3 linked regions of the Mus musculus genome follow. The protein of the gene in region 2 purifies or fractionates together with the protein of the main gene of each other region. This does not show direct contact. Links are inferred from orthologs where the notes say so. Each region holds a gene or a part of one and is shown on either strand. Other genes may lie near its edges.

What was found.
Region 1: the proteins of Npc1 (region 2) and Sigmar1 purify together in Homo sapiens (affinity purification with mass spectrometry; 3 studies listed by BioGRID and IntAct, with this or other methods). This does not show direct contact. The link is inferred for Mus musculus from reciprocal best matches to the Homo sapiens genes NPC1 and SIGMAR1.
Region 3: the proteins of Npc1 (region 2) and Pon2 purify together in Homo sapiens (affinity purification with mass spectrometry; 3 studies listed by BioGRID and IntAct, with this or other methods). This does not show direct contact. The link is inferred for Mus musculus from reciprocal best matches to the Homo sapiens genes NPC1 and PON2.

What each region holds. Positions count from the first base shown.
Region 1 is NC_000070.6:41,737,118-41,744,780, forward strand, and holds Sigmar1 (sigma non-opioid intracellular receptor 1), read right to left. Parts: upstream 4,243-7,663; 5' UTR 4,136-4,242; coding exon 3,985-4,135; intron 3,860-3,984; coding exon 3,659-3,859; intron 3,526-3,658; coding exon 3,433-3,525; intron 2,464-3,432; coding exon 2,237-2,463; coding exon of another isoform or gene 2,122-2,236; 3' UTR 1,376-2,121; downstream 1-1,375. UniProt on the Homo sapiens protein: Functions in lipid transport from the endoplasmic reticulum and is involved in a wide array of cellular functions probably through regulation of the biogenesis of lipid microdomains at the plasma membrane.
Region 2 is NC_000084.6:12,189,675-12,196,737, forward strand, and holds the end of Npc1 (NPC intracellular cholesterol transporter 1 precursor), read right to left. Parts: intron 6,940-7,063; coding exon 6,810-6,939; intron 5,536-6,809; coding exon 5,335-5,535; intron 4,621-5,334; coding exon 4,389-4,620; intron 3,734-4,388; coding exon 3,620-3,733; intron 2,173-3,619; coding exon 2,010-2,172; intron 1,329-2,009; coding exon 1,246-1,328; 3' UTR 212-1,245; coding exon of another isoform or gene 132-211; 3' UTR 20-131; downstream 1-19. Other genes in the region: Rmc1 (regulator of MON1-CCZ1 complex), read left to right, coding at 132-211. UniProt on the Homo sapiens protein: Intracellular cholesterol transporter which acts in concert with NPC2 and plays an important role in the egress of cholesterol from the endosomal/lysosomal compartment.
Region 3 is NC_000072.6:5,294,099-5,301,917, forward strand, and holds the start of Pon2 (serum paraoxonase/arylesterase 2), read right to left. Parts: upstream 4,243-7,819; 5' UTR 4,188-4,242; coding exon 4,114-4,187; intron 1-4,113. UniProt on the Homo sapiens protein: Capable of hydrolyzing lactones and a number of aromatic carboxylic acid esters. Has antioxidant activity. Is not associated with high density lipoprotein.

The sequences.
Region 1 (7,663 bases), on a different chromosome or scaffold from region 2:
CCACCATGGTGGTAATGAGAGCTCAGAGAAGGTATCAAGATAGCCAATTTGCCTGGGTTTCAAATTGTTGATGCTTTTTGTTGTTTGAGACAGTCTCATCCTATAGTCCTGCTGGTCTACATTTACTATGGACACCTGGCTGGCATGGAACTTGCATAGATCCTTTTGCGTCTGCCTCCCAAATGCTGATATTATAGGCGTGAGCCACTCACTATGCCTGGCTAGACCTTTGATGACATTGTCAAATAAGGTTATGCACGTAGCCTTTTGTATTTGTGTTCGTTAGACTGTTTAACTATATAACCTTGTTTCTCCCAATATTAGTTTAACAACTCCAAGAAATAGGAAGGGTCCGGACTTTATTCAACCTAAATAGGACCAGGATGAAGGTGGCATGAGCTTGGTGACCTGTGGGCAAAAAAGCCATGAGCAAGGTCCTTAGGAATGAGTGTACTTTTGGCTCTATCTGCCTTGTGTATTTTGCCTGATCCTGCCCCAGGCAGGAGCTCCCCAATAAGTGCTGGGTCAAAGGCAAACCAGAGCAGAGGAACTCTTGTTCCAGTTAGTGGTGTACTCTATTCTGTCAGCCCGGAAGAACCAGCTGAGGTCTGTTTCAGCTCAAATGTGGGAGCACAGTGCCACCCCATGGCCATGTGCAGTGAAGTTCTCAGGACCACCTCTAGGACAGACTAGCAAAGTAGACACACGGGTCTCATTTTTTCATATTCAAAAACTTATCTCGAGGGGCTGGAGAGACGGCTCAGCAGATAAGAACACTGACTGCTCTGTCAGAGATCCTGAGTTCAAATCCCAGCAACCACATGGTAGCTCACAACCATCTGTCATGGAATCCAAAGCACCCTTCTAGTGTGTGTCTGAAGACAGCTGCAGTGTACTCATATAAAAAAAGAAATAAAATTAAAAAAAAAATTTATCTCTATAGATGCAAGCCAGCCAGCCTCAGTGACTCATCTGTCTTCTAAGGGTGTGGTTAGCACAGCGCTTGCCCAGACTGCACAAAGCCTTGGCCTTAATTCTCAGTCCTAGGAAGTGGAAGCTGGAGGTTAAGTTCACGGTGAATTTCAGTATCACATCGTAAATTCTAAGTCAGCTTTATATTGCGGGGGGTGGGGGGGGGCACTCTGGGTGTGGTGGTGCTCACTTCCAGTTCCAACACTCAGATGCCAACAGCAGGCAGAGCTGAGTCTAGAGCCAAAGGTTTAACACCACCACCCCTAGAAGGCTGACTTCAAAGTAATTCTTAGCACACTCCCTTCTGTCTAAACCTTGTCTTACAAACTGGATTGTACAGGAGGCCTTTTAGTGCCCCAGGAGGCAGCTGGCTTCCCTGCTGTTTAGACACATAAGGAAACGAAACTGTTTAATATGTTTTTATTAACAGAGAGAGACAAGAAGACAGAGATTGCAACAGATATGTCTGGAAACTGATAGGGTGTGCACACACACACTAAAGGCTTCTTTTGGAATGGGGTGGCTCCTTGGACCCCGGCTTACTTCTCCAGGTCCTCTCCTTGGGAACTGGCCCTGGGGCACTAGCCAGCTTTCCCATTCTAACCCCAACAAGGGTCTCCGTAGTGGAGGACCTCCCTTCCCTTTAGCATCCTCTACATGCCTCTGCTTTCCCAGCTGAACTGGTTGCCGGGGGGGGGGGGCAGGGAGGACAAGCCAGGGGGGCATTTGCATAGCAGGGGAGTGGAATGGAGATAAGGCATATGGTGAGGAAAGGGATGAAGGGAAGGGCATCATAGCTGCAGGTGAAGGGGACCTCCGAAGGGCAGCTCCTCTTTCCCTTCACCAGAGATTACTACAGGAATGAGGCATCAGAGTGAGGTAGTGTGTAACATCTACCTCAACCCTTGATCCCAGAGCCCTGAATGCCAGCAGGAGGCTCTAGGAAAGCCTGAGTCAGTGAGTCAAGCTTGTGATGTGTGTTCAAACATGACTGGCCCCCTGGAGTATATGTAGAGGACCCTTTCTGGGTGGATGTGAGTGCATGATCTTACAGTACATACAAGTCTTAGCATCTCTGTGTCTCATTTGCTTCCCAAGAGCTGTGTCTGGATGTACAAGTATGTATGTCCTTCCTCATACAGCAGGTACTTAATATCTGCATGGTATACGCTGCTGTCTGAATATGAGTTCCAGCGAGTAGAGAGATGGATGTGGTCCTGCCGCGCTCCTGTCCATCCACAGATCTTCCTTCAGGCCTGGCTGGTCAGGAGTCTTGGCCAAAGAGGTAGGTGGTAAGCTCAAGCCGGAGGCCCCGGGCATAGGCCCGAAGGGTATAGAAGAGTGTGAGGTAGTCCTGGGTGCTGAAGAAAGTGTCGGCTAGTGCAAAGAACAGGGTAGACGGAATAACACCCCGGCCGTACTCCACCATCCACGTGTTTGGTCCCCACTCCAGAGCCGTTGCTTCTCCAGGCCCGTGTACAACTGTCTCTCCTGGGAGACAGACAGGATAAGAAACCTCATGAGGAGCCCAGCTCTGCCCTGGCCTTCCATACTGCATTTGTCTAGCCTATGGGCTATCTATGGAGAGGAGGGGAATGAAAAGACAGTTTCAAGAAAAGAAAAAGTTCTTCTACCCTACTGGCCAAGCTGCTTGATCAGAGGACAAAGACCAAAACACCTAATACCAATGGCATCACCTGGCCCCTGGAAGGCCACCCAACCCAGCTACAGGCTAACGTATAGAATTATGGCATCTGCATTTCCAAGCTGCACTCATATCTGGTGGAAATTCTGTGTGGTTACAGGGCTTGCCAGGCTCTCTGAGAAATGCGCCTGTTCAGTCACAAAGTGTGATGCTTAACCTTACACCAGCAAGCCCACGCCTTTTTTTCTTTTAAACAGATTCAGAGGTACATTAAAAAAACACCACCAGGAGTTTGCTAGCCAGATGGCTCAGCTGTGCCCTGGCTCCTACTCCAGAGGACCCAGGTTCACTTCCCAGCACCCACATGAAGGCTCACAACAGTCTATAACTTCAGTCTCTGGGATCAGATGCCCTCTTCTGGCCTTTAAGGCACCAGGCAGTTAAGGGGTTGGTGTGTGTAAGCAAAACCCAGACGCATAAAAACAAACAATAACAAAAATACAAAAACCCCAAACTGCCACTCTAGTTTAAGGAAACAAATGCCTGTCTTAACTTTTGGGTATAACCCAGATAATTGCTGGGTTAAACAGGCTGATAAAAAAAATCAAGTTCTCTATGACTGGAAACTGCCGTGTTCTGTTTCCCTTAACAGTCGAAAGCATCAGGGTTCCTAGCTCGACCCTAACGAAACACCTGTGGCTTACCAGGGAGGGAAGGAAGGAAATCACTGGTAGGCCTTCTAAACACGCCCTTTCCAAGTCTTATGCCCGTCCCTATCTAGAGGGCGCCCCCTCGGACAGAACTTCCCTACGCACCTGGGTAGAAGACCTCACTTTTCGTGGTGCCCTCTTTCCATTGGTGGAAGGTGCCAGAGATGATGGTGTCAGAAATCTCAGCCCAGTATCGTCCTGATTGACAGTAAAATAGACACCGACCATCAGGGAATCCTTGTCAATACACGGCCCAGCCAAACCTTGGAATGGAGGGCACCGGCCCTCGAACAGTCCCAGCCTCCCAATCCGACCCACCGCCAACACTGACCCGAATGGCCATGGGAGCCCAGGGCGGTGCCGAAGAGCAGCACGTACTCAGACAGCGAGGCGTGCAGAATACACATGGCGCCCATCCAGCCGCCCGCGTTCACAAATACCCACTGCAGCTCCTCATCCGGCAGCACGTGGCCTGGGTGCAGCCTCCGCAGCTCCACGATCAGCCGAGAGAAGGCAAGCTCATGGTCCAGCCCTGGTGCAAAAAGGAGAAGCGCGGGTGAGACCAGCCCGCGGTCTGAGCTTGGCGAGGACCAGCCCTCGGAAAGCGCGGCTCCGCTCCGTGTCGGCCCACCCCACTCTCCGCCCTCACCGGCTCACCCGCATACTGTCGAGCAAGCTGCGCTATTTCTTCTCTAGAGAAGACGAAGTTTTGAGTGCCCAGCCACAACCAGGCGGCCTGGATCAGCACTGCGATAATAGTCAGAATCAGGGTGATCCATGCCCACCGCCGTCCCGCGGCCCACGGCATTCTAGCGGGCAGCCTGGCACCACCAACGTAAGACCGAACTAGGGCCACAGGCTGTGGGTTCACGACTCAAAAGCCGCTGCCTACGGTCGCCCCCGCCACCGTGGTACGGCTCGCCGGGGCCAATCGGAACGTCCGGGTCACCTAGCACCGCCTCTGGATTGAACCATTTTCTAGAGGGGAGAGCGTAGGGTTTAGTGGCTTGGTCTGCAAGAGAGGTGAGAGGCGGGGCCTCGCCTCCTGGCTGCCACCCTGTTGGGTTCAATCTTGGTGTCCCCAAGCGGGGAGACCCAGAATGGATTGGCCCACCTGAGCTAGCGAGCCCAGAAGTAGAGCTTTCTAGGTCTGCTAGCACAGAAGCAGGTTGAAGATAGTGCCACTGGGAACCTTAGGAAAGAAGCGGTGATATCTGAAGTGTCCATGAGAGAGAGAGAGAGTCAATGGGAACTATTCCAGGAGTCAAAGAGCAGAGGAGTGTGAGACAGCATACATGCATTTATGTATATATGTATGTGTACATATATTTGTAATATTTTAGACAACTTTAGCTAGCCTATAGACTAGGATAGCCTCGATCGATGCCTCTCCAATACTGGGATCAGGGGCGCGCACCACCATGCATGTTTAGCTTAGTGTTTTCTCCGATCCTATGATTCATTCTATGTTCTGAAGCACAAAAGTGTGAAAGACCTTGAAAACCAATAGATTTGTCCACTGGGGAGCTATGGGATTCGATGTTGACACAGAATGATTCTGGGCTAAATAGAGGAGGGGAGCAAAATTGGACTAAGATCTAAGACAGAGAGCCCATATGTGTCAGCATTTAAGAGTATGCATTGATAGCTTTATCTGTAACATAGACTAAATTAAAAAGTATCTGCTTCGTAGCCCATACCTTCATTATGATTAACATTAAATGAATTAATTTTTTAAAGTAATTAGTGCCTGGCACATGGTTAGGATTATACATGTTAGTTAGAAAAAGACAATGTAAGACATGTATTGCTTGTAATTCTAGAACGTGGGAAGGCACCAAGATCAGTTCAAGGTCACCATAGCAAAAGTCAGCAGAGGCCTCAGGAAACCATGTCTAAAGCAACAACAAGAACAACAGCCAAACCCATAAAGGAGCTAGAACACAAAGAACTGATGGAATGAAATCCATCAGGCAAATATAAGGGAGGGGTTCACGAAACATGGGGAATGGCTTTTCATGGCATTTTTATGTGGCAGAGACATTTCTTTTTGCTTTTTTTTTTGGTTGTTTTGTTTTGTTTTGTTTTGTTTTGTTTTGAGACAGGGTTTCTCTGTATAGCCCTGGCTGTCCTGGAACTCACTTTGTAGACCAGGCTGGCCTTGAACTCAGAAATCTGCCTGCTTCTGCCTTCTGAGTGCTGGGATTAAAGGTGTGCGCCACCATGCCCGGCTTTCCTTTTGCTCTTGAGCGACCAAAATACATTCTATAATCTCTGTATATGGGGCCATGTACCAGGTGGTTTTATTCCAGATAATAAAATGGAAACAGAAATGCTGTAAGACATTTTCAGGTCTAGTTTCTAAAAATATGTGAAATCTTGAGGCTGGAGAGATGCCTCCGTGGTTAACAGCACTAGCTGCTCTTCTGCTTTTCCAGAGGATCTTGATTTGATTCATAGCATGCATATGGTGGCTCACAACTGTTTGTAGCTCAGTTCCAGTAGATTTGACTCCTTCTAGCCTCTGTGGGAATTGTACCCACATGATATACTGGCATACATGCAGGCAAAACACCAATACATATATTTAAAAAAAAAAGAAATTCTGTCCTCTCTCTTTTCACCTTTGCCAATTTCAGAAGACTTATTGTTGTGTGACAAAATGTTTCCTGAGGAAACACAACACACTTCAGATAGGGAGCCTATGACAATTGAAAGTACAGATACCACCAAAATCCAATTTGGTGAACTAATGAGTTTTATTGGGGTTACTTGCTGGACTGTGGGTGAGGAGTTACTTGCAGGAACAGAAATCAGAGTCAAAGACAGCTGCATCACCAAAGCCCAGCCCAGCATGGGTGACAGCTCACAAAACCTGGAAGCAGCCTGAAGGCTCTACAGGTTGTAGTGTCCTTTTCAAGAGACTCTAGTCTAAACCTCTCCCAAGCAGCTTGACTAGTCTGTTTCTTCAGGACTAGTCTGGTCTCAAGATACTTTTTTGCAGCTTGGCTTCACTTTGTCTAAATGGGACTCTCAGCATTTATTGCTTACTATAGCAGGGAGGAGTCTAGTAAATTTGGTCAGTTTCAGGGACTTCCTGAAGCTGTTTTGAGTTGGTTTCCATCCTGCTAAAGGAATTCTTGCAGGATGGATTTTAATACTACAAGTATAATATAGTGGTTCTTCTTGGTCATCAACTTGACTACATCTGAAACTCAAAAAACACCTGTGAGGGTTTATTTTGTTCTTAATTAAATCATTTGATGTGAGCCGGGCGTGGTGGTGCATGCCTTTAATCCCAGCACTCGGGAGGCAGAGGCAGGCGGATTTCTGAGTTCAAGGCCAGCCTGGTCTACAAAGTGAGTTCCAAGACAGCCAGGGCTATACAGAGAAGCCCTGTCTCAAAACAAAACAAAAAACAAAACAAAACAAAAAAACCAACAACAACAACCAAAAAAACCCCATCTGATGTGGGAAGACTTACTTCTGAGCCAGATCGTTGAGATAGGAAGATACATTATTAATTTTGGACCATACCTTCTGCTGGCAGCCTATATAAGGGACACAGAAGTAGGAGATGTGCCTCCTCTTTGCAGACCTGCCTTTGCTCTTGATGGCAAGTCCATTCCTTCTCTGGCATTAGAGCTTACTTCTTTGGGATTCCAGCATATACTGAAGACAAGCTGAGATATCAGCCTCATGGACTGAAAAACTGAATTCTTGGACCTTCCATTGGTAGGCAGCCATTGTTGGACTATCTGGGCCTTTAAGCCATTCTAATAAGTCTTTGCTCTGTTGCCTTTCACTTGCCCATGTTGCAATATATTGTGCTACAGAGACCAGAGGCTGGGGAGGTGAACTGTTGTGTATTTGTTAGTTTTGAGTAATCTAGTTGAGGATGAAAGGTTGAGGAAACGTGTTTTGAAACAGCTGCTGGCTTCTATGTTATCCCTAAGTTGACAATTTTCTAAGACCACTGAGACCTCTCTAGTTCATTGCCCTTTCACATTCCATCATAAATACAGTTCCTCATAAATAAATAATCCCGTCCTCTCAGCCTTAACCACTAGCTGTGTGATAGACAGTAACATGGCTCCAGTCTATATGACTTAGGGTATGTAATCTTAGTTGCTGTAAGCAAACAATACCCAGAGCTCAGAGGGCCTTTCTGTAGCAGGCTTCTGCCCCTCATTCCATGTAGAAACGGTTTCTGAGATGTCCAGACCTACAACTCCCCTCTTTGATCTTTCAGCCACCTTCTCAAACACAGTCCACTAAAAAAAAAAAAAAAAAAAAAAGAAAAAAAAAAAGAAAAAGAAAAGGAAGGAAGGAAGGA
Region 2 (7,063 bases):
CAATAAAAGACCTCAAAATGGAGGAGGAGGTATTTTATTAAAGAAAAATAAGTTAAAACCCATGAGCGTTGTCTGCATCCTGTCTTCCCGGGCCATAACCAGCTGCTGACTGAGCCGCGTTGTCCTTACAGGAGAGCACTGTGAAGAACACGTTGCCTTTTTCAAGCAGGTTTTTGGAGAACAAGCTCTAATGAGGCCTACAACATTCTGAAGTCCCTTAATAGTCTTTTTTTTTTTTTAATATAAAAATGTACAAAGTTAATTTATTGCATTAATAAAGCTCTTTAAACTACAAAAAAATGTAATAAAGTACCTACAACATCCTCAAATGTTGCTAACTCCCAAAGAAAAGGAGACAGCATGTGGGGTAGGGATCAGGTCACAGTTATTGCCACTGGGAAATGGAAACTTAAGGGTTCTTTGGAAAGTCAGTTGTGTTAGATGGGGTTTTGCTGGGGCAAATGTGAAAGAACATTTTGCTGAAGCAGACACAGGTGAAAGGCAGACTTGTGAAGGACTGTTTCCCTAAAGCAAGCACATGAAAGGACACGTGAATGACAGGCATGTATTGGTTGGTCTGCCTTATATTGTGTAGTTGAGCTCCATGTGTTGGGACTCCACAGAGAGAATATAGAGCTAGCTGTGTAATGTTTGTTGGTCTCCAGTCTTCGCTGATAGAGGAACAGCCAAGAACCTCTGGTGTTCCTGTCGGCCCTGGTCCCTCCTGCTGAGGCCTGGCTGCTCCTATCCCAACACTGCTGGTGTATCCGTGAAGTGTTTGCGAGTGGGTCGAGCTGCCACTGCTGACCCGTGAACTGAATTGCTGGTTTCCTGATAATGCAGACAGGATCTGCTCCAAAGAACCATTTCTAAACAGGTCCACTTCCCCTGTATCCTTTCTTTCCCACTATCTCTGGTTGGTGGTGGGCTAGAAGGGAGGTTAAAGTGTTTAATAACCTCCATTAAAAGTAGGCATTGAAACAAGTTAAAGTGACAGAACTATCCTTCCTTGTACCCAAGATGAGGTTTCTACTGGTACGACAGTAGGGGCTGGCGATTGTTGCTTTCAGATCCATTAATACTGCTTCACAAGTTAGGTGTGCATTCCTGAGTTTAAAAGCGTGGGTAGAGCTGCATGTGACACAGCTCGGACACAGCCTGAAGCCAGCTCAGTCTTGACAGCGCAGCTGTCTTGCAGTAAACTTGACCTATCCATAAACACAGTCACCAAAGCCTGCTACAAGGCTAAAAATTGAGGAGCCGTTCTCTCTCTGTCCCTCTGTAGCGCTCGTAAGTGGTGTGTCTTTTAGCTTTATTCACCGACGGCCCTGTGTGAGACAAGAGAAGGCGTAAGTAACCTCCTAGGCATGGAAACCAGCCATGCTCTTGTTGCTTTTTTCTATTTTATTTTTGTGTGTGGGTGTTTTGTCTGCATGCATGCCTAGCCAGAAGATGCTGCATGGTACAGCATCTATGCAGCGCTCCAGAGGCCAGAAGAGGCTGTCAGATTCCCTGACTGGAGTTATAGTTGTGAGCTGCCATGGGGGTGCTGGGGACTGAACTTGGGTCCTCTGGAAGAGCAGCTAGTGTCTTTCTTAACCGATGAGCTGTCTCTCCAGTGACTTAGTAACAAAGCTGTGAGGCAGACTCATCCTGTTACCTTTTCAACTGGGCGTCACTGTATGAGGTGGAGTGAGCCCTGGCCTCCAGGATGCCTAAGGAAATGCCCTGGCCAACCGAGACGCCCTGGGGGAGGTTTTACTGTTTCCTTCTATGGTTTTAATGCAGTATGAGCTAGCTGTCAGTACAAACTCAAATACTTTAGAAAGTCCAAGTTTAAATTTTTCTTTGAGCCAGGGTCTTTTAGCTTAGGTTAAACTCACTGTTAATGACCTTGAACTTTGGATCCATCCTGCTTCCACTCCCTGGGATTTCAGGCTTGTGACACCATGCCCTGTTAAGTAAATGTCGTTCCTCCCACGCCCGTGAGAAGAACGAAATGCTCTTACCTATGTAACTGAGTAAGACGGGAAGAAATATTAGTCCATGAGTGGCTCCGAGTAAGACCATGGCTAAGTACATCCTGAAGTAAAATATCTCAAAAATTTGAGATTTGGCAAAGGCTAACACCACGATCCCTCCAAATTTCGTAAGTGTGATTCCACTGAATACCTGGAGAGGCAGAAGTGAGCTGTTAGCCTATTATAAGTAAGCAAGCATCTATTGCCACGCAAACCTTCCTCAGCAGTGAGTGTCCAACCACTCACATCCTGCCCCGTACCCAAACTGTCTGGCCTGCTGCTTTATGAGCATGCATGAATCCAAGGAAGTTTGAGTGCAAATGTGCGGCTGTCAGAGGTCAACTTCGGATGTCTTCCTCAACTCCCCACTTTATGCTTTGAGACAGTCTCTCTGAAATTGGAGCTCATATGGCTGGACGGGCTGGCTCATGTCTGAGCTACAGGATCTACCCAACTTATTCACAGCACCGGTGTCAGAGATATTTACTGCAGTGCCCATCTTAAGTGAGTGCTGGGGACTCAAGCCATCTCCCAGCCCAGGAAGGAAGGAAAATTTCAGAGCCATGCATTTTCTCAGAAAACTGTCTTGGCTAGTTTTGTTAAAATCAAGCAGTCTGGGGCTGGTGAGATGGCTCAGTGGTTAAGAGCACGGACTGTTCTTCCAAAGGTCCTGAGTTCAAATCCCAGCAACCACATGGTGGCTCACAACCATCCGTAATGAGATCTGACGCCCTCTTCTCTCTTATGAAGACAGCTACCGTGTACTTACATATAATAGTAAATAAATAAATCTTTAAAAAATAAATAAGCATTGGGAGGCAGAGGCAGACGGATTTCTGAGTTCAAGGCCAGCCTGGTCTACAAAGTGAGTTCCAGAACAGCCAGGGCTACAGAGAAACCCTGTCTCGAAAAACCAAAATACATAAACAAACAAACAAACAAGTAAGCAGTCTGAACCAAGGCAGATTCTTAGATGGAAACTTAGAAGACTTTGTGTGTGTGTGTTTCTGCAGCACATATTGAGGTCAGAGGTCAACTCTATACAATCATCTCTTCTCTTCTATCGATCATGTGGGTTTGGGGATCAAAACCAGGCTTGCCGAGCAAGCTCCCCTCAGACATGCTGGCTATCTTGCTGGCCTGGAGTTGTTACAAAGCAGAGGCTTACGTTTTCACTGATACTTTCCAGAGTGGCGGACTGAGTGATGGGGAACAGCAGGATAAAGGGCTGGATCAGGACCTCAGGGCATTAACTACAGACAACCCAGTGCCACCTGGAACTCACGAGACCCCTTGTGTCACCATAATACTGGCTTCCAGCTCTCTCAAGCCTAACGTTTCCTAACTTTCCTGATTAAGCCATCTGATTGTCTAAGACATCACACAGCAAGGACAAGTCTGAGGGATTTCAGGTCTGTTTCAGACATAGCTATTTAGTGAATCATGTGAGAATTTGTCATTGCTGGGAGCTGCCATTTTCAGAATGGATCCAAATTGTTTTATCCTCTGAATTTGTGTTTTTTCTGAGACGTAGTAGCCAGTCACTGAAGAAGCATTCCCATTGCAAGCCCACCCACCCTGGGGCCAACAATACTCACAGAACTACCCATGTGGGCCAGTGCCTCTTCCGCCCGGCTCACTCGGCTTCCTTTGGTACTCATGGTGAATGCTCTCGTTATATGGCTGCAGAACTCCACAGAAATGCCGCAGCTCTGGAATAAAGCGTCCCCATTAGAACAGAGCTTTTCCAGCTGAAAATTCTTCTAAACTACAGGAGGAAACCCTGGGTCCTGAAGGCTCTACCCAGGCCTCTACTTTTCTACAGTATCTTGGTTTTGATTAAGGACATTTCTGGAAACTTCCCAAGGTTACCTATCCTTCCCCACTGAGGCAGCATACCGCCAACCCATCATGCTGAAGGTGTTCTGGGGGTTTACCTCCCATTAGTATGTTTTAAGCTGCCCCTCCATTTTTCTCTGTAGCCCTGGCTGCCCTGGAACTCCCTGTGTAGACCAGACTGATCTCAAACTCCACCTGCCTCTGCCTCCTGAGTACTAGGACTAAAGGTGTGCATCACCAGGCCTGACTACATCTTCAATACTTCCTAAGTACTTGCATGCTGGGCAACTTGTACAGGAAACCCTACAGAATAGCCTGGTAAGTCAAACTCGAGTGTCTTAATGTCACTAGGCTACATGGTTTTTTGTTTTCAGACAATTTCATTTACTTCTGGCTGACCTCATATTTGCCATGTAGCTAAGTGGCACCTGTGTTTCAGGCCACTTTAGGACTTACATGAAATCCAAGGAACAATTCATGCAAGACTCCCAGGAGCTAGGGACAAAGTGAGAGAAGGCCAGGACTAACCATCACCAAGTTGACCAAGGAGACCGCATTCAGACTGATGCCCCACAGCCACATGACACCGAACATGTTGACCAGGATCATGGCTATGGTGATACACATGATGACCGCAGACCACAGCTCACAGCCCAGAACCACCAAGGTCACCAGAAATATGGAGCCCAGAGACACACTGAGGTTAAAGATGGTGTCATCAATAATGGTCAGGTACTGTTCATAGAAGACGTAGAACACACTGGGGGGTTGGGAGAGGAAGAGTTATCTGGTTAGAGCTTGTCCTCCCAGGTCTTCCCTCTTTATCCCACCCTGACAGACACCACCCCACACAGGCACCATGCACCTAGAGCAAAGCCACTGACATCCAAAGACAGCCTGATAGTTACCCCGAATGTGTGCTTACATAGACTTTTTACTTGTAAGCTCAATTTTTGCTACCTTATAAACACTTCCAGAAAAATCCCATATTGGAAAAGAAAGAAACCAATCAGGTCTGTTCTGGGAACTGCCCAAGAACTAGGACACCTACTCCGGAAGTCTGCACGTAAAGGCTGGAATTATTTAACCACACAGTTTGAGAAGAGCAATCATTTGACTGCTCTGCCTTCCTGACTTTCCACAGAGAAAGCAGCAGCAGCAACAAAACAAACCCTGACCCCAGCCAATGAAGTCTGTTATCAGAGCAATGTCCCAAGGAATGAGCAGGCAGCAGGGATCCCTGCCAGCATGTCCCTTGTGCAAGGCTCACTCTCCTGTGACTCTCTGGGCTGGGACAACACACCAACGTCTGTGTTCGGTCCTCAGAGCACAGCAGAGGCTAAAGACACTGGCCCGCTCACCTCAAATGCCCCTCATACACTACTCTTGGTTGAGGATAAAGCAGCTGTCAGAATGAGAGCGAAGGATCTGCAGTCCCTACCCCACCCTCTAGAGCCCGCCCTCCCTGCTTCACCTGTAAGGGAATACGCGGTAGTCACTCCCCTTAGAACGCATGGTTTCCGTGATGTTACTGGCTATTAGCCGAGCTTTCTTCATGGCATCAGTATAGTCAGCGGAGGTCTTAAGTATGGTGTGGTAGGTCATGAAGTAAGTGGCCCCAATGTAAGTGTCATCTCCCACAATGTTAACAGCTGAACCGTAAGCAGCATGTCCCCTGAGGAAGAGGTATGGGTGTCAGGAAGGCTATGGGCAGAATATGAGCACTGTGACACGGCTCAGAGGCCACACGGATGAAGGAGGCCTCCTATGAAGGGCCTGGAAGGAAGGCACTGCCTTACCGTACTGCTGTGCTTTGTCTTGTGCACGGCCGCTATTGTTTCTCTACCTGGTTCCATTCAAAACCAAACATGATGCACAGCTGAGATGTTCCTGCTGTGTGACAGGAGGTGAGAAAGGACAAGAGCCTGGACGCAAGCCCAGGCCTCCGGGTAAAGGACCCTCACCTTCGCCGCTGTGAATGGGCATACCACCACACACTCAGCCTGGGAGTGCTAACCAGTCAGGGGCACTGCCCAGTGGATACTCCCTTTGGCTTTTGCTTCCTAAATTCCAAAGAACTCCCATGCTTTCATGAAGAAAATTCCAGAATAACCTCAATATTAAAAAGCAAAGAGAGTTCTAATATCTATCCTTAATTTTTAGAGGCAGTCTTTGTTAGAACTAGCAGAAGTTTCAGAACAAATATGGCACTCACAAGTGACAGGACTGCTCAGCGGAGGCCCCCTGGCTGCTCTTCCAGACAGGGCTTCTGTGTATCCCTGGCTGTCCTGGAACTCACTCTGTAGATCAGGCTGTCCTCAAACTCCCTAGTGCTAGGACTAAAGGCATTTGGCACCACCACCTGGCTCAAATGTGGCTTCTTACAAAACCAAGCCTATCCGTGTTGGTTACATCACACACATGCGGTATTCAACTTTCACCTATAAAGCTTCGTCCAGGACAAAGTACCTCTTATCTTTACTATTTCTGGGCCAGATATCCTGTCCCTGTCCCTGTGGCCAATGGGTGACAGGTTGGGGATTTAAATAGCTCATCTCCCTCTCACAAGGCTGGGGTAGCAGGGATTAGAACCTAAACCTTAAACTGTGGTAACCTTATCAAAGCAAAGATGCTGTCTCTAAGCCTGCTGGCACAATGGGACTGACTGGGCCTCTTAACTCTCTACTCCTTTGTGATATGCATGGGAAATCTGCCTCCATCCATAGCCTGGGGTAAGGACAGGAAGCAAGCATGGAGAATGAGTGCCCAGTGAGGATTAACCCTTCTGAAGCCTAAGGAGTTTCTTTAAACCGTGTCTCTGCCCTACAGGACTAGGGCAGGGCAGGCAGAGGACCCTTCCGTACAAGCCTGCTCAATCCAAACTCTGCTTCTGGTTCAGGTCGAAGCAGCAGTGACTGCTTAGCTCAGCGCTCCCTGGCCAGCACTTACCCTTTGCCGCACTTGGGGTTGGGGTTATCAGAAAGGAACATGGGCAGGAATTTCATGAATTCTTTCCCCTGAGGCCTCTGTTTACCCTCTGGAGTCAGAGGTCTGCAGCGGACACAGGTTGGGTCCATCACTGACAAAAAAAGGAGAGCCACTCATTAGAAAAATGGGCAGCAAGACTTACAACAGCACCAACAACAAACAGTCAAGACTTAACACTTAAGGACTGCGTGTTTAAGACTAAACACTTCCCCCCT
Region 3 (7,819 bases), on a different chromosome or scaffold from region 2:
CAGAGCTTTATAAAGAAAGCTTGCACCAAGTTGTAAATTACTTACCCTCCGCACCTCTGCATTCAGTGTGTGCATGTGTGTGTATATTTGCCTGTCCATGCATGTACATGGACGTGTATATGTGTATCCATGTGTCCATGTGTGTGCGTGTGTGTGTGTGTGTGTGTGTGTGTGTGTGTGCATGTGTGTGGGTCTATGTGTTGTGGGTGTGTGGATATATATACTCATATATACATACAGAAATCCTATGAGGACACTGGGTACCTTCCTCTATTGCTCTCCATTGTACTGCCTAGGGACAGTCTGGCCTTACAGGCCCACATGGCCATGTAGGATTTTTGCATGCGTCCTTTGGGTTCACATTCAGGTCCTCATCCTTGCATCTCATGCCCTCTACTAGCCATCTCCTCAGTCGCATCCCTGATGGGTATATTTACTTTTTCTTAATTTGTGACTATACCTGTCAATCCAAGAGACTTCAGCTTTGGACCTTAATGTGAATAAGGAAAGGGGGAAGAGTTGACTATTCATCGAGAAAATTTCAGTTTGTGGAAACAATGATGGTTCAACCATCGGTGATAACTGAAGGAGTCTAGGAATTTTCACGTCCCATTTTTACTACTGAAAGCTGAGTGGGCTGCGCAGAAGCACCTGACTGCAAGAGCCTAAAGAGTGCAGGAAAAAACACCAATGGACAACACCAGACTGCACAGCGCCTGCCAAACGAAGCAAGCGATCAGCAGATTTAAGAAATGGCCACAGGATGGGAGGACACACTTGCAATACCATCGCTAACAGCCAGGACATGTCAGAAACCTGCATTAGCTCACACCTAACCCATTAGCAAACAGAGCAATGCAAACAAACAAAAACCCAACAACCCAGTTTCCAAATAAGCAACCACCCTGAGTGGAGACTTCTTGGAAAAAGATAAATGATGGCTACTGTGGTTATGAAGAAATAACCTACATCCCTGATAATCAGGGAAATGCAAATAAAATGTTCTAAGAGATACAATCTTGCTCTAGTTACAACGACTACTGCCAAAAAGAGAGAAAGCAGCAGTGAGCTCATCTCTACTCTGGAGCTTGAACACGTGCTCCCACGGACTCGACATTGAACCACTGAGCCACACACCTTGTTCAGAAAGGCATCCTTTACTTTCTGTGGGTGGAAAGTACTGTGACGTTGTGAAACAGAAACGGAGACGCCCTACAACTTGTTAAAGTGTAAGTCTCGTATATGACCAGCAATCCCAGGACTGGAGATATATCCAAAGAGAGAGAAGTCAGTGCTGAAGAGATGCTCGCATCCCAGGAGGCTCAGGATACATAACAGGCCCCAAATAGGAACAGCCTAAGCGCCCTCCCATCAACAGATAAATGGGAAACGACAATGTGGGGGGACTTATACAACAGATACAGTGAGAGAAAGGGATTGTAGAGGCACGGTGTTGCATGTATGTGGTTTTCATACTCAGGAGACTGAGACGAGAAGATTTTCATGACACAGATGCCAGTCTGGGATAGACAAAGAGAGACCCTGTCTTAAAGAGCCAGGAAGGAAGGAAAGAATGAAGGAGAGAGGGAAGGGAAGGGAAGGGAAGGGAAGGGAAGGGGAGGGGAGGGGAGGGGAGGGGAGGGGAGGGGAGGGGAGGGGAGGGGAGGAGAGGAGAGGAGAGGAGAGGAGAGGGGAGGGAAGGAAGAAGTGAAGGAAGCAAGAATGAAAAAATGGGAAAATTCACAGATATGAATAGAAGTTGAATATAAAAGTAGTTGCCCCATAGGAGGAACAACAATATGAACTAACCAGTATCTCCAGAGCTCCCTGGCACTAAACCACCAACCAAAGAGTACACATGGTGGAACTCATGACTCTAGCTGCATATGTAGCAGAGGATGGCCTAGTTGGTCATCAATGGGAAGAGAGTCCCTTGGTCCTGTGAAGGTTCTATGCCCCAGTGTAGAGGAATGCCAGGGCCAGGAACTAGGAGTGGGTGGGTTGGGGAGCAGGGGAGGAGATAAGGAGTTTTGGAGGGGAAACCAGGAAAGGGGATAACATTTGAAATGTAAATAAAGAAAATATCTAATGAAAAAAAAATAAGAACAGTAGTTACTCAAGGATAAGGCCGAGCCATTGGCGGCAGCGAGACTGGCCAAAGGGCAGAATGGTCTGATTAGAAGACAGGCAGTGCAGTGACGTGAGCTAATAGTAGTGTATGCTTCAAACCAGGAAGAAAGAATGCTTAACATTCTCATCTCAAAGAAAAAGCAAGTGCTTACGGTGACTGCTGTGGTAATCACTGCAGATCTCGTTATATATAACACCTTAGCCCATAAGTATGTGTGTTTATTATTTATCGATTAAAAACAAAGGCTAGCCCGACCCATCCAATGTGTGGAGAGTCTACAGGAGCAGAAGCATTTCCGTGCCATGACAATGAAGCCACATTGCCATTCCCTGGCACAGGCATAAGGCTGACTTTCTCCCTGTTGCAGTGCTCCCACCATGTCCACTTCTCACAGGGCCTTCTTCTAAGTGAAGCTGCAGCTATGGGACACTGGAATTGCCTTGCAAGATGTGCTATACTTTGATTTGACTCTCATTCTTGGGGATGCAGTCTGGGTCTCCTTTATCATTCCCAAAGTGCTTTCCCCATGCCTAGTCCAGCATCTCTCAATGCTTAATGCATACTGTACAAGAGGATTGCTAAGAGAGGGGTGTGCTTCGTGTTGTGATTTTGTAGTGTGGTGCTGGGGCTAGAATCCCAAGCTTCGTGCATTCTGGGCAAGTGCTCTGTCCCTGAGCTACACTGCACATTATTAGCAAAGATATAAACGTTAAAAATAAAAAAAAAAAAGATAAAAGGAAGAAAGAAGAGGAGAGGGGAGGAGAGGGGAGGAGAGGAGAGGAGAGGAGAGGAGAGGAGAGAAGAGAAGAGAAGAGAAGAGAAGAGAAGAGAAGAGAAGAGAAGAGAAGAGAAGAGAAGGAAATCTGACTGTCATGCTGGCGTGTGCCTATAATAGCAGAAGTCAGGAGACCAAAGAATCCTGAGTTTTGAGACCAGACTGAGCTTCAAAACAGAGGATACACAGTGAGACTTCGTCTCAAAACCAAGAATTCATTTAAAATTTAGAAAAGCACCCAAAACCCAAGGCCGATGCCCTATCAGAACCAACTGAATTAGAATGTTTCACATGGTGCTACTTGGACGTCAAGACTCCGGGAGATCCCAATATCCAGGCCCCGTTGCTGTGCCCTTCGGGCTTATTTGTACAATGCAAGACTCATAGCAGTTTGCTGCTAAACAACCAATGAGTGCCGGCGCTTCCCTTTTGCCTATTAGAGAGAGGCCCAGTGTGAAGCACACCCTTCAGACTTGCCCGCCTTCCTCATCTGAGTCTACGTTGCCTCCCAGAACGCCTACAGAAGACTGTCTTTTCTCTTTAACCCTATAAGGAGCTGAGTACTACTGTTCCGGAACACTTTTGCAAGAAGTTTATAAAGTTTGAATTGGTAACTTGAAAGTATGATGTCTACCCAGAACAAACAATCGCTCGCTCTGCTTCTGGGACTCTGGTCAATAAATAAGGAAATGATGTAAGAACAGTAGCTGTCTCTCTCAAGCGTCTTTGATCTCCAGCGCCAAGACGGAAACCCTGAAGTTTCACCAACTATTAATGCTGGGGAGGGATGGGTTCCGGCTGAGCAGAACAGCACCAGTGACCTAAAATGAAGCTGTATAATTAGAGCGTCCACGCATGAGTAATGGTTTTGTTTTCAAATTAAAGCACTGGGTTTGCCCTTGGGGAATTTGCAAAGCTCTCTCTTGTCAGCCTAGGCAGAGGAACCTCGGCACCAGCAAGCGCTGGAAAACTTTTTCCCAAAGTGTCTAGGTCTTGGTGGAAGTGGACTGGGTCGGTTAAACGGAGCACCGGTAGCTATCCGAAGTTCTTCCTTCCATCCGGTCCCCCCCCCCCCCCGAACTAAACAAGCTCTCTCTCCAGTTACCTCCCCCCCTCTCACCCCCTCCCACCCGCCGCGCGAGCGCCCCAATCAGCTCGGCGGTCCCAGCCTAGGGACTCCCGACCCGGGACCCTCGGCAGCACCTACCTGAGCGCTAGGAACCGCTCGCCCAGCAGCGCCAGCCCGATGCCCAGCAAACTCAGAGCCACCATCCGGCCCATGGTGCGGGACCGGCCCGCCGTCTGGCTCGGGCCTGACCGAGCAGCTCCGGACGCTGGGCCAGCTCCCCGCCCCGAGCGCGGAGCCGCGCCCGATCCCCGCCCCGAGCGCCGGCTCTGCAGCCCAGGCTCCGCCCGGCGCCTCGTCCTCGGAGCACATCCGCACATGCCCGCGTGGGAACCCAACTGAACTTGATTCCTTTCACAAACACCCCGCCAAGCCTCCGATCCTCGCGCAGCTGCACCTGCTCAGCTCCCTGAAAACTTTAGGGTGGCCTCTGCGGAGTTCCCTTAATTTAGTTAAGTTTGGGCTTGCTTTTTGCTGTTTTGGCCTGGTGTTTGAGGATACTTTCCCCCTCTGTTGTGTATAATTTTGGCTTTGAGAAGCTAGGAAACAAACTCAGGACTTTGTTCATATTAGGCTAGTACTGAGCCATATCTACAGTCATACACTAGTTTTGTTATTACACATACGTGTGTATAACATTTCTATATTTAAATATAAAATATATTTAGATAGTAATTATTAAACAACACAGAAAGTATATTATATATATATATGAAATCTATTAAAATTGTACTTTTAAATGTTCTTATTGTTTTGAACATAAGGTCTCATGTGGTCCAGGCTGGTAGGGAACTTCTGATCTGTCTACCTCCATATGCCAAGTTCTTGGGCCACTCAAGGCCCTGCCTAGAGTAATATGTTTTGCCTTAGTTCTTTATTTCATATGCATGGTTGTTTTGCTTGCATGTAAGTATATGCACCACATTCATGCCTGGTATCCACATAGGTCAGAAAAGGGTGCCCACTACACCAGGAAATACAGCCAGTGTTCTTAGTGCTGAGACATCTCTCTCGTTCAGACATTTTAAATATTCCTTTCCTTTTTTTTCTTCTTTTAGATGGGAAAAAAGTGGTTCTGGACAGGTCTTATATAAGAAGTTAGAGTTGGAATTACATCCTTTTATATTAAGATTTATAGCCAGGTGTGGTGACGCACACCTTTAATCCCTGCACTTGGGAGGCAGAGGCGGGTGGATTTCTGAGTTTGAGGCCAGCTTGGTCTACAGAGTGAGTTCCAGAACAGCCAGGGCTACACAAAGAAACCCTGTCTCGAAAAAAAAAAAACCAAAAAAAAAAAAAAAGATTTTAGACTAAAACACCACAAACTCGGGACTCACTGGAGTACTAATCAATTTTCTCTTCTTTCTCCCTTTTCATTTTAATACTTATTGATATACACTTATAAAAATATAAAGAGGGAGGGCACTCGTTGAGATTGCGACAGCTACTGGGTATAACTTGAAATCAGTTCCTAATTGTTCCCAGTGCTTAATTCCCACCTGCAATGTTTGCAGAAGCTACACAGTCAGTTCCCGGGGACCATCCTTTTCTGACAGTGTTTTGTTATTGCAGCTCGAGGTGACCTCAGATTTGAGGCTCTCTTGCCTTGCCCTCGTGAGGATTACCAGCAGATGCTGGCACATCAGGCCAGGTTTCTGTTTTGTAACCAACCATTAAGGAAAAGCAGATGCCGGTTTGTACCTGGCCCCTCACCAAAGGGAAAAGAAAGAGATCTTCCTGTTCCACACATCTGTGACCAGCCCTAAGGGACTCTGGGATGTATCCACTGTCTGATAGACAGCTGAACAATTGCTCTTTCAAAGTCCCAGAAGATGTACTTTTTATGCACTTTCCATCACAGATAACTTCGCAAAATACTGTTTGTCAGGGCACACAGTTAGGTGGGTAGGATTGCCAAAGGGATCAAGTGCACTGAAATGTGATTATCGAAGTGCTTTGAAAGTGAGTGTATGCCACAGAAATACAGTAATGACACAGCCCTTCTCATCTTGGCATGGGAGCCACCCTGTGCCCTTAATGGCATCTCTGAGTTAGGTGTGATCTTAGCACAGCAAATCAGAAAGCTCTAGAAACATTCTTTCAAAGGAAGATAAAGGGCCAGGGCTGGTGACTGACTGGAATCTCACCATGAAGCTAAAACAGAGACTGGAGAATATTGGGTTTAAAACTAGTCTGAACTAGATAAAAGGCTGAAGAAAAAAATTCAAATGAGGTTAGGTATGTTATTTAAAGATACATGTAACAACTATAGTGACAACTATTGCTTCTTTTGGTAACAAAAATTTTTAGTAGTTTCTTACCTTCATAAATGAAAGAAATGCAAAATTTCCTTTCAAATCAATGTTTTTTACCTTCATCCAAAATTATCAACAGCTCTGAACTAACTAACCTACTTATTTGTGTTTTTCTTCTCTTTCTAAGTATCCTGCCTCTAAAATATACCCTCGGATCCTTTAAATCATCCACGAGCCTCTTAAGTGAAGAGATCCAACTTGGGATGTCGCTTCTGACTGACTGCATAGACAGGCATTGAATTTTACCATCCGTGGCATGAATCATCAGGAGAAACCTTGCAGATACCATCAAAATTTAGGAGGGCGTGGTGCTATTACCTAAGTTCCTGGCTTAAGGTTGAGAGTTTGCTCTAGGATTCCTGACTCATCTGAGAGGTATATAAAAGTATGCCTCATGTATTGTGAGACATGCCTCCGGAACCGTGGGGCAAGAGCCGGGCAAAGCGCCTCCCCACTTGTCCTAAAGTTAAGTAACAGATCATGGAGTTTTACAATTCGGTGCTATTCTTAATGCCTAGGGAGACACCATTAAGTGGAGTGTTATAGTAATTCTCACCAAGTCCAGACTTGCCCTAACAGTGTTTCCCGACAACAGCTGAGAGACAGAAATCCAATGGCTGGCTTCAGTCAACACCAGCCTCTGACGACTTCTTGTTCTGGGAACACCGGTCTGAAGTTCGGCACACCCCTCCGAGTATCTGAGGGAAGTCGTGCTTCACTTATTTAGTTTGAAAGACTGTTGGTTTTAAAAGTAATATGTCTTTGTCCTTCCACGTGTGCAGGTGTCCATGGAGGCAGGAAGAGAGCATTGGATCCCCTTGAGTGGAGTTAGCCATCCAACCTGTATGCTCGGAAAGAAGCGAGAGTGCTCTTAAGCATTGAATGACTCCAGCCGAGCCCTGCTTTGATTCTGTTAGCAGAGCCAGTCAGGTCAGGACCACTCTGTACTCCACACACGAGCAGTCCAGGTCATCACACTTTCTGATGATGTTGCAAGGTGAAGCAGCTTCTCTCGAAGAACTTATACACAACCATTGGGCTAACTGCCACCATCATATATATATATGACATAAAAAACTCAGCTATTCTACTGCAAGAATGCTAGATTAATAATTGAATTTCTTGAATAACGTAGCTATCTTTCAGATTTTGGGGGCTTACAGGGCAATATTAAGAATGTAAACCCTTGTTTTGTGTGGTTTCTGACTATGGAATAACTGAGTCACTCAGTACTTGTACTCAGTACACATCAAACTTGTGTCAGAACCTGCTTGGTGTATTTGGATGCTCCATTTCCAACAGTGTTTCTCAGTGGGGTGACTGGTTTGTAATTAGAAAATTGCTGTTCAAAAAATGACACCTTTTAATCAAGGCTCCTCAGCTTTGTGTAGGGAAGGACAGGTTTTTCGTTGCCTTTGTAAAATACAATGAAAGTGAATTCCTGGGGATTAAAGTAGAATCTCAGGCATCTA